2 linked regions of the Arabidopsis thaliana genome follow. The protein of the gene in region 2 interacts with the protein of the main gene of each other region in a pairwise test. Each region holds a gene or a part of one and is shown on either strand. Other genes may lie near its edges.

Region 1 (4,078 bases), 9.7 Mb from region 2:
AGTAATTAAACCTTAAAATCTATATCAAGAAAGGGAGAAAGCCGATGAACAAAAACAAAACCCATTTTTACAAGATACAAGTTATGGTCACCAACAAGTAGACAAAAAGAGAACAAGTAGAGAAAAAATGCTGCGTCTAATTATGTCTTTTGAAAATGAAATTAGATATTAACATATACGTGCATATATACGAAGAAAATAATTTAAAGTTTTATGTGCATTAGCGATTGTTTGACACACAAGCCACTAAAATTGATGATTCTTGCAGACACTTGTTCCATTGCCCTTTCAAGATCTTTTGTGTCTTGTCCACGATATAGTATGTGTGTGTGTGGCTAATCAGATATATTATTTAATATGGGCTACGTAAAGATGTGTCATGTGTACTTTGTTTTGGCATGATGAGTGATACATAACGGGTGATTGGAACCAATGTACGAGAGCCTCGTAACCGAATTGTAAACACGGTTTCTTTTTTCAGTTTTTTTTTTTTTTTTTTTGCTTAATTAATCGGTAAGTTAAGGTCTATCGGTACTATTTGTTTATGTGTTGTATTTCGTGTGCCAAAACATTTTTGAACCTTCCATTATAAGCTTTGTAACACAAATATTGGCATCCATGGAATAACAAAGAATATGGTATTACATTGAGATATATATTGACAAGTTCATTCGATCAACCAAATCGTTTCTTCTACTTGTGAAAGTAGATTTAACTCTTTGAAATTCTTTCTTCAAGAATTTCGTATCTGTCAATTTGTTTGTTCTTGTACACAAGCTTTTAGTTAATGTTTTACATTTTAAATAAACTCCATGGAATAATATATCCTGAAGTCCTAGTTGATAGCATAGCCTAAACAAGCCTTTCCACTTCTAGTGTCGATCCTGCGATAGTTTTTGTACGAGAGCCTAAAGATAGTCAAAAGATATACATTTCACATAACTATTAAACCAATTATCTTAATTATATGCTTTATCAGCTTCAAAACCAACTACTACAATATATAAGGAAAAATACCCCTCCCCTTGAAATTTTTGGATGGCATAAACACCACTAAAAAAGGTAATGCCATCAATTAGTGTCACCAGTCTTTTAGGAATATGATTGGTAGCTTTTGAAGCGAGACATTTTATGGCTAACATTTGGAATGACTAATGTCTTTGAGATTATTATATGTATATAATTTTACTGATAACATAATTATATGGAATCCAAAATTCACATTAACTAATCCATATTATGGTGAGACAATTTGGAACGAAAAGTTCGTACCGAACCGTTTTATATAATTTATGTAAACAATATTCTTCAAAATTAGCTATTTTGAGTTTAAGATTTAAAAGAAAATCTTATGAAAAAAACATATCTTAATTCAGTAAGTAGAATGATCCGAAATAAATACTTTGCACAATTTCATAGTTCTTAAAATAAATAATAGTCAAAGGAGTTAAACCATGTTTTATTATTAAGGCGTCAATCCTACATTTTTTGTTGTTCATGATTTTGCATTTCTGCGATATTATCAAATCGAACTAACATATCACCTGCAAGAAAGATTTGATTATAAAAAGTAATAGAAAAAAACATCCAAATTTGCATGCGCTTAACCACCCATGAAACTCCTTCTCATTACAGAACAACACAAGAATACAGAACAGAATCAGACGCACACTAACTAGATCTCTCACATACACAGATACATACACGCATACATACAAAACAAAACACAAACTCTCATCATCTTTCTCGTTCATTATGCCTACAATCATGATTCTTGGTCTCTTAACCCGCATGCTCCTTCTTCTCTATCCTCCAAACCCTCTCCTATAAATACCACTTCTCTCCCACTAATCACCACTACCTCTCTCTTCTCTCTCTACTCACACACAAACACATTTCCTTTGCCGTGTTCTTCTTGCAACTTCCTCTGTTCTGTTTCATAACATCTTCTTCTGATCTTTGCAATGGCAGTGTCTGGGTTCGAGGGTTTCGAGAAAAGACTCGAACTTCGGTTCTTCGACGATGACAAACCAATCACCAAAAACCCTATGGGACTCCGTCTAATAGACTTCGAATCTTTAGACCAAGTCTTAAACGAAGTGCAGTGCACAGTGGTCTCCGCCGTAGCGAATCGTAGCTTCGACGCTTACGTTCTCTCAGAGTCAAGCCTCTTTGTATACCCAACCAAAATCATCATCAAAACATGTGGAACCACGCAACTCCTCAAATCAATCCGACCGTTGATCCATCTCGCACGTAACCTCGGCCTCACGTTACGCGCGTGTCGCTACTCGCGTGGCAGCTTCATCTTCCCTAAAGCTCAGCCTTTCCCTTACACAAGCTTCAAAGACGAAGTCATCGTCGTCGAAGAAAGCCTCCCAAAATCTCTCTGTTACCGCAAAGCCTCTGTTATGACGCCTTCTAATAACCCATCACGTGCTTGGCACGTGTTCACCGCAAGCGCTGACGTGGAATCCGACGAACATGTCGTCGTAGTCGAAGTATGTATGACGGAGCTGGACCGAGTCAACGCTCGAAGCTTCTTTAAACGGAAAGGTGACGAGAAAAACAACAGCGATTCCGCCGGGAAAGAGATGACGCGGCTCAGTGGTATCGATAACATAAACGCAAACGCTTATATATGCGATTTCGCGTTTGATCCTTGCGGTTACTCGATGAACGGCGTCGACGGTGACCGTTACTCAACTATCCACGTAACGCCTGAAGACGGTTTTAGCTACGCGAGCTTCGAGTGTGGTTTGTCTCTCTACGACAACGGTCACGAAGATATCTCTGAGGTGTTAAGCCGGGCCATTGATGTTTTCCGTCCAAGTGACGTCTCGATCGCCACCACTTACGGCGGCGAAGATTACAACCACGAGGTGACTAAGCGCGTGGAGCGTGTGTTAGCTAAGAAGCTTGATCTTAAGTGTCGGAGCCGTCTTATGGATGAGTTTCCAGGCTCCGGAACCGTCGTTTATCAGTCCTTCACGCCTCGTCGGAAATAGGCTTCGCCGGAGGAGTAAAAAAGGAGAAAATGTTTTAATTAGGTTTCAATTAGCTTAAAGGAGAAAAAAGAAACAGGTAATGACGTGGAGGGAAATGATTGGTTGACTTGGGTTTAAGGAGGATATTAAGTGGGAACATATGATCATGCACCCCACTTTGCACTTGTGGCAATGTCACGCCTAAGCATTTTTGAGGTTCAGTGTTGTAGAATTTTAGTGGGGGATGGTAAAAATGGTTTGGTCTGTTTTTTTTTTGTCTTTCTTTTATTTCTTCTTATGTTTGTTTTTTATATTTTCGATTTAAATTATCTTAAATCTATATATCAGACTGTTGATATACGGTTTTAATCGTTCTTACTTTATATGGTTACAAATTCATTCACCTTAAAAGTAAACTAATTATGATGTGAAAAATATTGTAAAACAATTTCAAAAGATCCTTAGCTACTGTTCGATATGTTTTGTCGTTACCAAACATATCTCAAGTCAGAATTAGCACCACAATAATATTGCCGGTCGACGACACTTGTATTTCAAGTTTAAAATCCGTTAAAATTATAGTTAGCAAACCTTCCATCATCTTTTACCTTTACACATTTGTAGTATTTAGTGTCGTATCATTTTGTTGCTAGTCTCCATCACATCTACTACTACTACTACTACACTGAACAAGATCAAGCATAGAACAATCAAGAATGAAATAAAATTTTAAAATTATGCATAACTTGAAACTGTGACCCTAAAAACTTGGATAATATTAAGGACTTGGCGGCTCATGCTCTTTTTTTAGGCAAATGCTTTTTTTTCTCCATGTGTGTGTTTGACATTTAACCATAAGAAGTCAAAGAATGAATAAATTTTAAAATCTATTACTACATACTAAAAAAATTAAAATCCAATGAATCTAAAACTCATAAGGCAAAAAAAGTAAGGTTACACTTTTTGTGGCTGACCAATTAAAAGTATTAATATGTGATTTACTTTTAATAATCGCGCATGTAAGTTTTCCCACCGCAACATATCAAAATCCAGTTTGCACGTGAGAATAATTGGCTAAAAAGTAAACCTTA
Region 2 (4,058 bases):
ATTGTGTAACGTTATGTTGCTGCAAAAGGGTCAATACAAAGATGAGTTTGTGACAGCAGGAGGAGTTCCTTTATCCGAGGTTCCGTCTTTTGAAACTTAAAACCAATCCTTTCTTATTGCGGTTCTTACTAAATCTGATTTTAACGTGTCTCTTACTGTTTCAAGGTTTCTTTGAAGACAATGGAGAGCAAATTGGTTCCAAATCTTTTCTTTGCGGGAGAAGTAAGCATTGCAACAATGTTTCAACAATTCATTTGTGTGATTTAGTAAAACAATGCATTTGGAACATGGACACATGACATGTGGAAGTAGGCATCCATGTACACACGCACACACATGACATGATAAATGTAACATATCTTTACTTGCATTTGTGTATTCAGGTACTAAATGTAGATGGAGTTACAGGAGGATTCAATTTCCAGGTGAACTTTTAGTTATAGCATTGAAATATCTTTTACTCAAATGTATTAAACGAAACAACAAAAACCATATCTTTTACTTTCCTAAATGAAATTTCACACCTGCAGAATGCTTGGTCAGGTGGTTATATCGCAGGCACAAACATCGGCGAATTAGCAAGTAGTAGCAGAATAAGTTCGAAAGAAAGAAAAGTTACTATAGGATTGTAGTTTGCTTATAAGAAAAGTACTGTCAACATTTTTTTTCTTTTTGTCAAAATACAGTTTCTATTTATCTATGTAGGAGCATTATCGGACATTATTATTGTAGCTATGATATGGTTGCAACACGCACAAGCTGAAAAGGTGTCAACTTTGTATCATAAACCACTGAAAGCAGAGTCTAAGCATTTCAACAAACCATTTCAATCAATCATGGCATCACACAGAAGGTCTTACATTAGCAGAGAGTATAGAACATCACATTCCCCATAAACATACCATTTATTATTGAGTTTACACAAGACTATTGGTTAAGGCGTTAACAATGCTCATTATGCTCTGAGTTTGCTAACTTTCTTCTCAAGTTCGTCCTTTTTGGCACCAATGATTCTTTCAATTTCTTTACCCCTTTTCACCAGCACAAAGGTAGGCATTGCCGTCACATTAAACTCTTTAGCCACATCCTGAAAACATTAGTCATGCAATAAATTTAAAATTGTTTCTCAGTACAAAATCCAATAACTGTTGAAACAGAAGCAGCTATGTGAACCCATTTCAACCAACTTCTCATCTATATATCAGAATTCGAGTGATTAGCAGTTGTACCTTAACATAATCTAACTTCTACTCATAATCAGAGAAAAACAGAGAAGTATGGATCAGTCAAAACAAGAGACAGAGACACAAAAGTTGAAACTTTGATTGGCAAAGTATAACCATGACAGAGATGCACCAAGTTTAGATATTTTTCTCATTACAAAACACCAAATCTCATGTTATATCAGAACTAGATTGATCTGCACTTATGTACCATAAAGCTATCCAATTTCTTCTCACAACACTCCAATGGAGGAATTTTAGGTAAAACAAAACAGTAAACTATAGTCTATGGATCAATCAGAGACAAATAAAGTCAGAAACTTTTGATAGCATTACAAAAAAAAGATGAAGACTTTATGACAGAGATACTTACAGGAAGTTCATCAACATCTAATTTGACGAAATCAACATCATTGAACTTATCAGCCATGGCATGAATCGCAGGCTCAATCATCCTACATGGTCCGCACCATGAGGCCGAGAAATCAACCACCAGCTTTATTATTCACAGAAACCAAATCAGTTAAATTCCATTGAAACACGAAATCGATTGAATCGAATCGAGAGTCTGAGAGACGTTACCAGTTTGTTTGATTCTTTGATCTCGTTGAAATGAAGTTGCCACCGAGCGGAAGAGCTAAACTTTAGGACGCGACTTGGCTCAGATTCGGTCCCTGCAGCTGTTGCATCTTCTCCACTTCCAAACACAGTTGATAAAGCTCCTCCCATTATCGTCTCTCGTCTCGCTTCTCTCTCTGATTGCGTTTAAGAACGACCCTGCTTTCTTTGGTCAACGATCGTGTCGTTTAATATTCAAACATCGTGCCGTTTCTACCACTAGAGCTGGTCAACTATGGGCATGCCCACCTCATTTAGCCCATTTAAAATCTACCCCATTTAAAATTATTTAATTTTAAGATTTATAAAATTGCCCATTTAAACTCATATACCCATTTAGATATAAATTAAAAAAGCAATTTAAGTGACTCGGAACACAAAACAACTACTAAATCAAGAATGTGTCTAACCTTTTATAAAACAAACTAAAATCAACACTTACCATCAAATTTCAAATTCTTACCAATCGAAAGACACTAATATCTATAAATCAAACTCAAACATGTTCAAGTTTTCAAACACAATAAGTTTCTTATTCTTCTTAGTTCCAAAACATGTTGCTTCTTCTACATTTGTTTCATGGTGCACTTGAATTTTCTGATCTTGAAGATTCTGCTCGGGTACTAATTGCAATCATCCTTGCATATTGGTTGCAAATCATCAATGTCTTTTAGGGTACCTACAATTCAAAGTATGAATTCGTTTTAAAACATGATCACTGCAAGAAACCTCGTTTTAAAACATAACTACACAATATTTTTACCTTCATATTCCGCAAATCCTCGCAACCAATTATGAGTACAAAGCAGAGTCTGAAAGTTCTTCGGAAGCAACCAGTTCATGTATGGACTCGAGACCCGTGCTCTGATGCTAAAAGCAGACTCAAATGCTACTGTCGTGATAGGAATGCTAAGTATGTCATGCACCATAGATGCTAAGTTACCAAATCTGTGTTGGTTTTCTTTCCAATAGCTCAAAACATCCAAATTTCGAAAAGCCTTTCTATGTAACCTTGGCTCATCCAAATAAACATCTAATTGCGTCTTCATGTTGTCCACATCACTTTCTAAGCTTCTTTCTAGCTCAAAAAGGATTACAATATCATTTTGGCTATGGGTGCAATCTTGGATCCTAGATGAAGTTGCAGATTCTTGAAAAAACTTATAAGCTTATGAGTATGTGGATCTTTCTACTTCTAAGTCGAAAGCTAAAGAACTCAAAAATGTATTGAAAGAACTCTACAAAGATTATGAGAAAAGGAAGTTGGCAAGTTTATGTGGAGCTTTTGTCGGCTCTCTCAACTATGATTCGCTTGTGGAGCTTTTTTTGACTCTCTCAATATTAATGTGAAAAATAAAGAACCGGACCAAACTGAAACTGTATAATCAAATCGAACCAAACCGAAATATTAATACCAAAGATTTGGATTGTAGCTCTTTCGATTTTAGATTTTGTTGTAAGTATGGTTTTTTTAAGAGAGAATGTAAAATTTATTCAATCTTTTTAAAAATGCATCAGTTTACAAATGTATCAAACTACTGTTTTCATTTTAGTGTCGCAAAAAATTAGTCGTTAAAGCATAGTATAACACATAATGTGTTATTGCATTTGAAAATTTTTATTTGTTGGCAAAATGTTCACCAAGTTGTATTTTGTTGTGGAGCATTCATAAGCTTTGGAAAAAAGTATGAAAAATTTAGGAGATAAACAATTTTGTTAAGAATTAAAAGATAAATTTGTACAAAGATTTCATTTGATGAATTACGGATCAAATTATTTAGGTTTCAGTTTATAGGACCTGAATCAAAAATAATTTTAATTTAAGTAAAACTAAATTGAGCTGAAAAATAATAGAGTTTATTAAAAATATATATTTTTTAGTTTTTTTATCTATTATATCATCATTAGAAATATTTGATCTAATCCTATTATGAAGTAGTTTACCTACAATAATAATGTTTAAAACGATAAACAAAAAAAAAAAATTGAACATAACTATCATAAATTGGGTTAATTGGTATTGTTCCGTCAGTCAGCTTAATTAGTATTGCTCAGTCATATTAAACGTTACAAAGTCCGGATCGAATTCTGACCGAATTCAAACGGTAAATAAATCGAACTTACTTATTACATGGATTTAAAAGCAACCCACTATAAAGCCCAGTGGGGTTTTAGAACCCAAATAGGAAAACGACGTCATATCATATGTAAATCTCA

What was found.
Region 1: the proteins of TRX2 (region 2) and BUD2 interact in binary tests that used the Arabidopsis thaliana proteins (3 or more experiments, as listed by UniProt).

Annotation. Positions count from the first base shown.
Region 1 is NC_003076.8:6,311,102-6,315,179, reverse strand, and holds BUD2 (Adenosylmethionine decarboxylase family protein), read left to right. Parts: upstream 1-1,807; 5' UTR 1,808-1,964; coding exon 1,965-3,008; 3' UTR 3,009-3,455; downstream 3,456-4,078. Other genes in the region: AT5G18933 (uncharacterized protein), read right to left, coding at 836-908, 1,018-1,053, 1,484-1,544, 1,733-1,793. UniProt on the Arabidopsis thaliana protein: Essential for biosynthesis of the polyamines spermidine and spermine. Essential for polyamine homeostasis, and normal plant embryogenesis, growth and development.
Region 2 is NC_003076.8:15,989,930-15,993,987, forward strand, and holds TRX2 (thioredoxin 2), read right to left. Parts: upstream 2,050-4,058; 5' UTR 1,953-2,049; coding exon 1,806-1,952; intron 1,720-1,805; coding exon 1,597-1,719; intron 1,088-1,596; coding exon 956-1,087; 3' UTR 758-955; downstream 1-757. Other genes in the region: AT5G39940 (FAD/NAD(P)-binding oxidoreductase family protein), read left to right, coding at 29-79, 166-222, 384-425, 531-632. UniProt on the Arabidopsis thaliana protein: Thiol-disulfide oxidoreductase probably involved in the redox regulation of a number of cytosolic enzymes. Possesses insulin disulfide bonds reducing activity.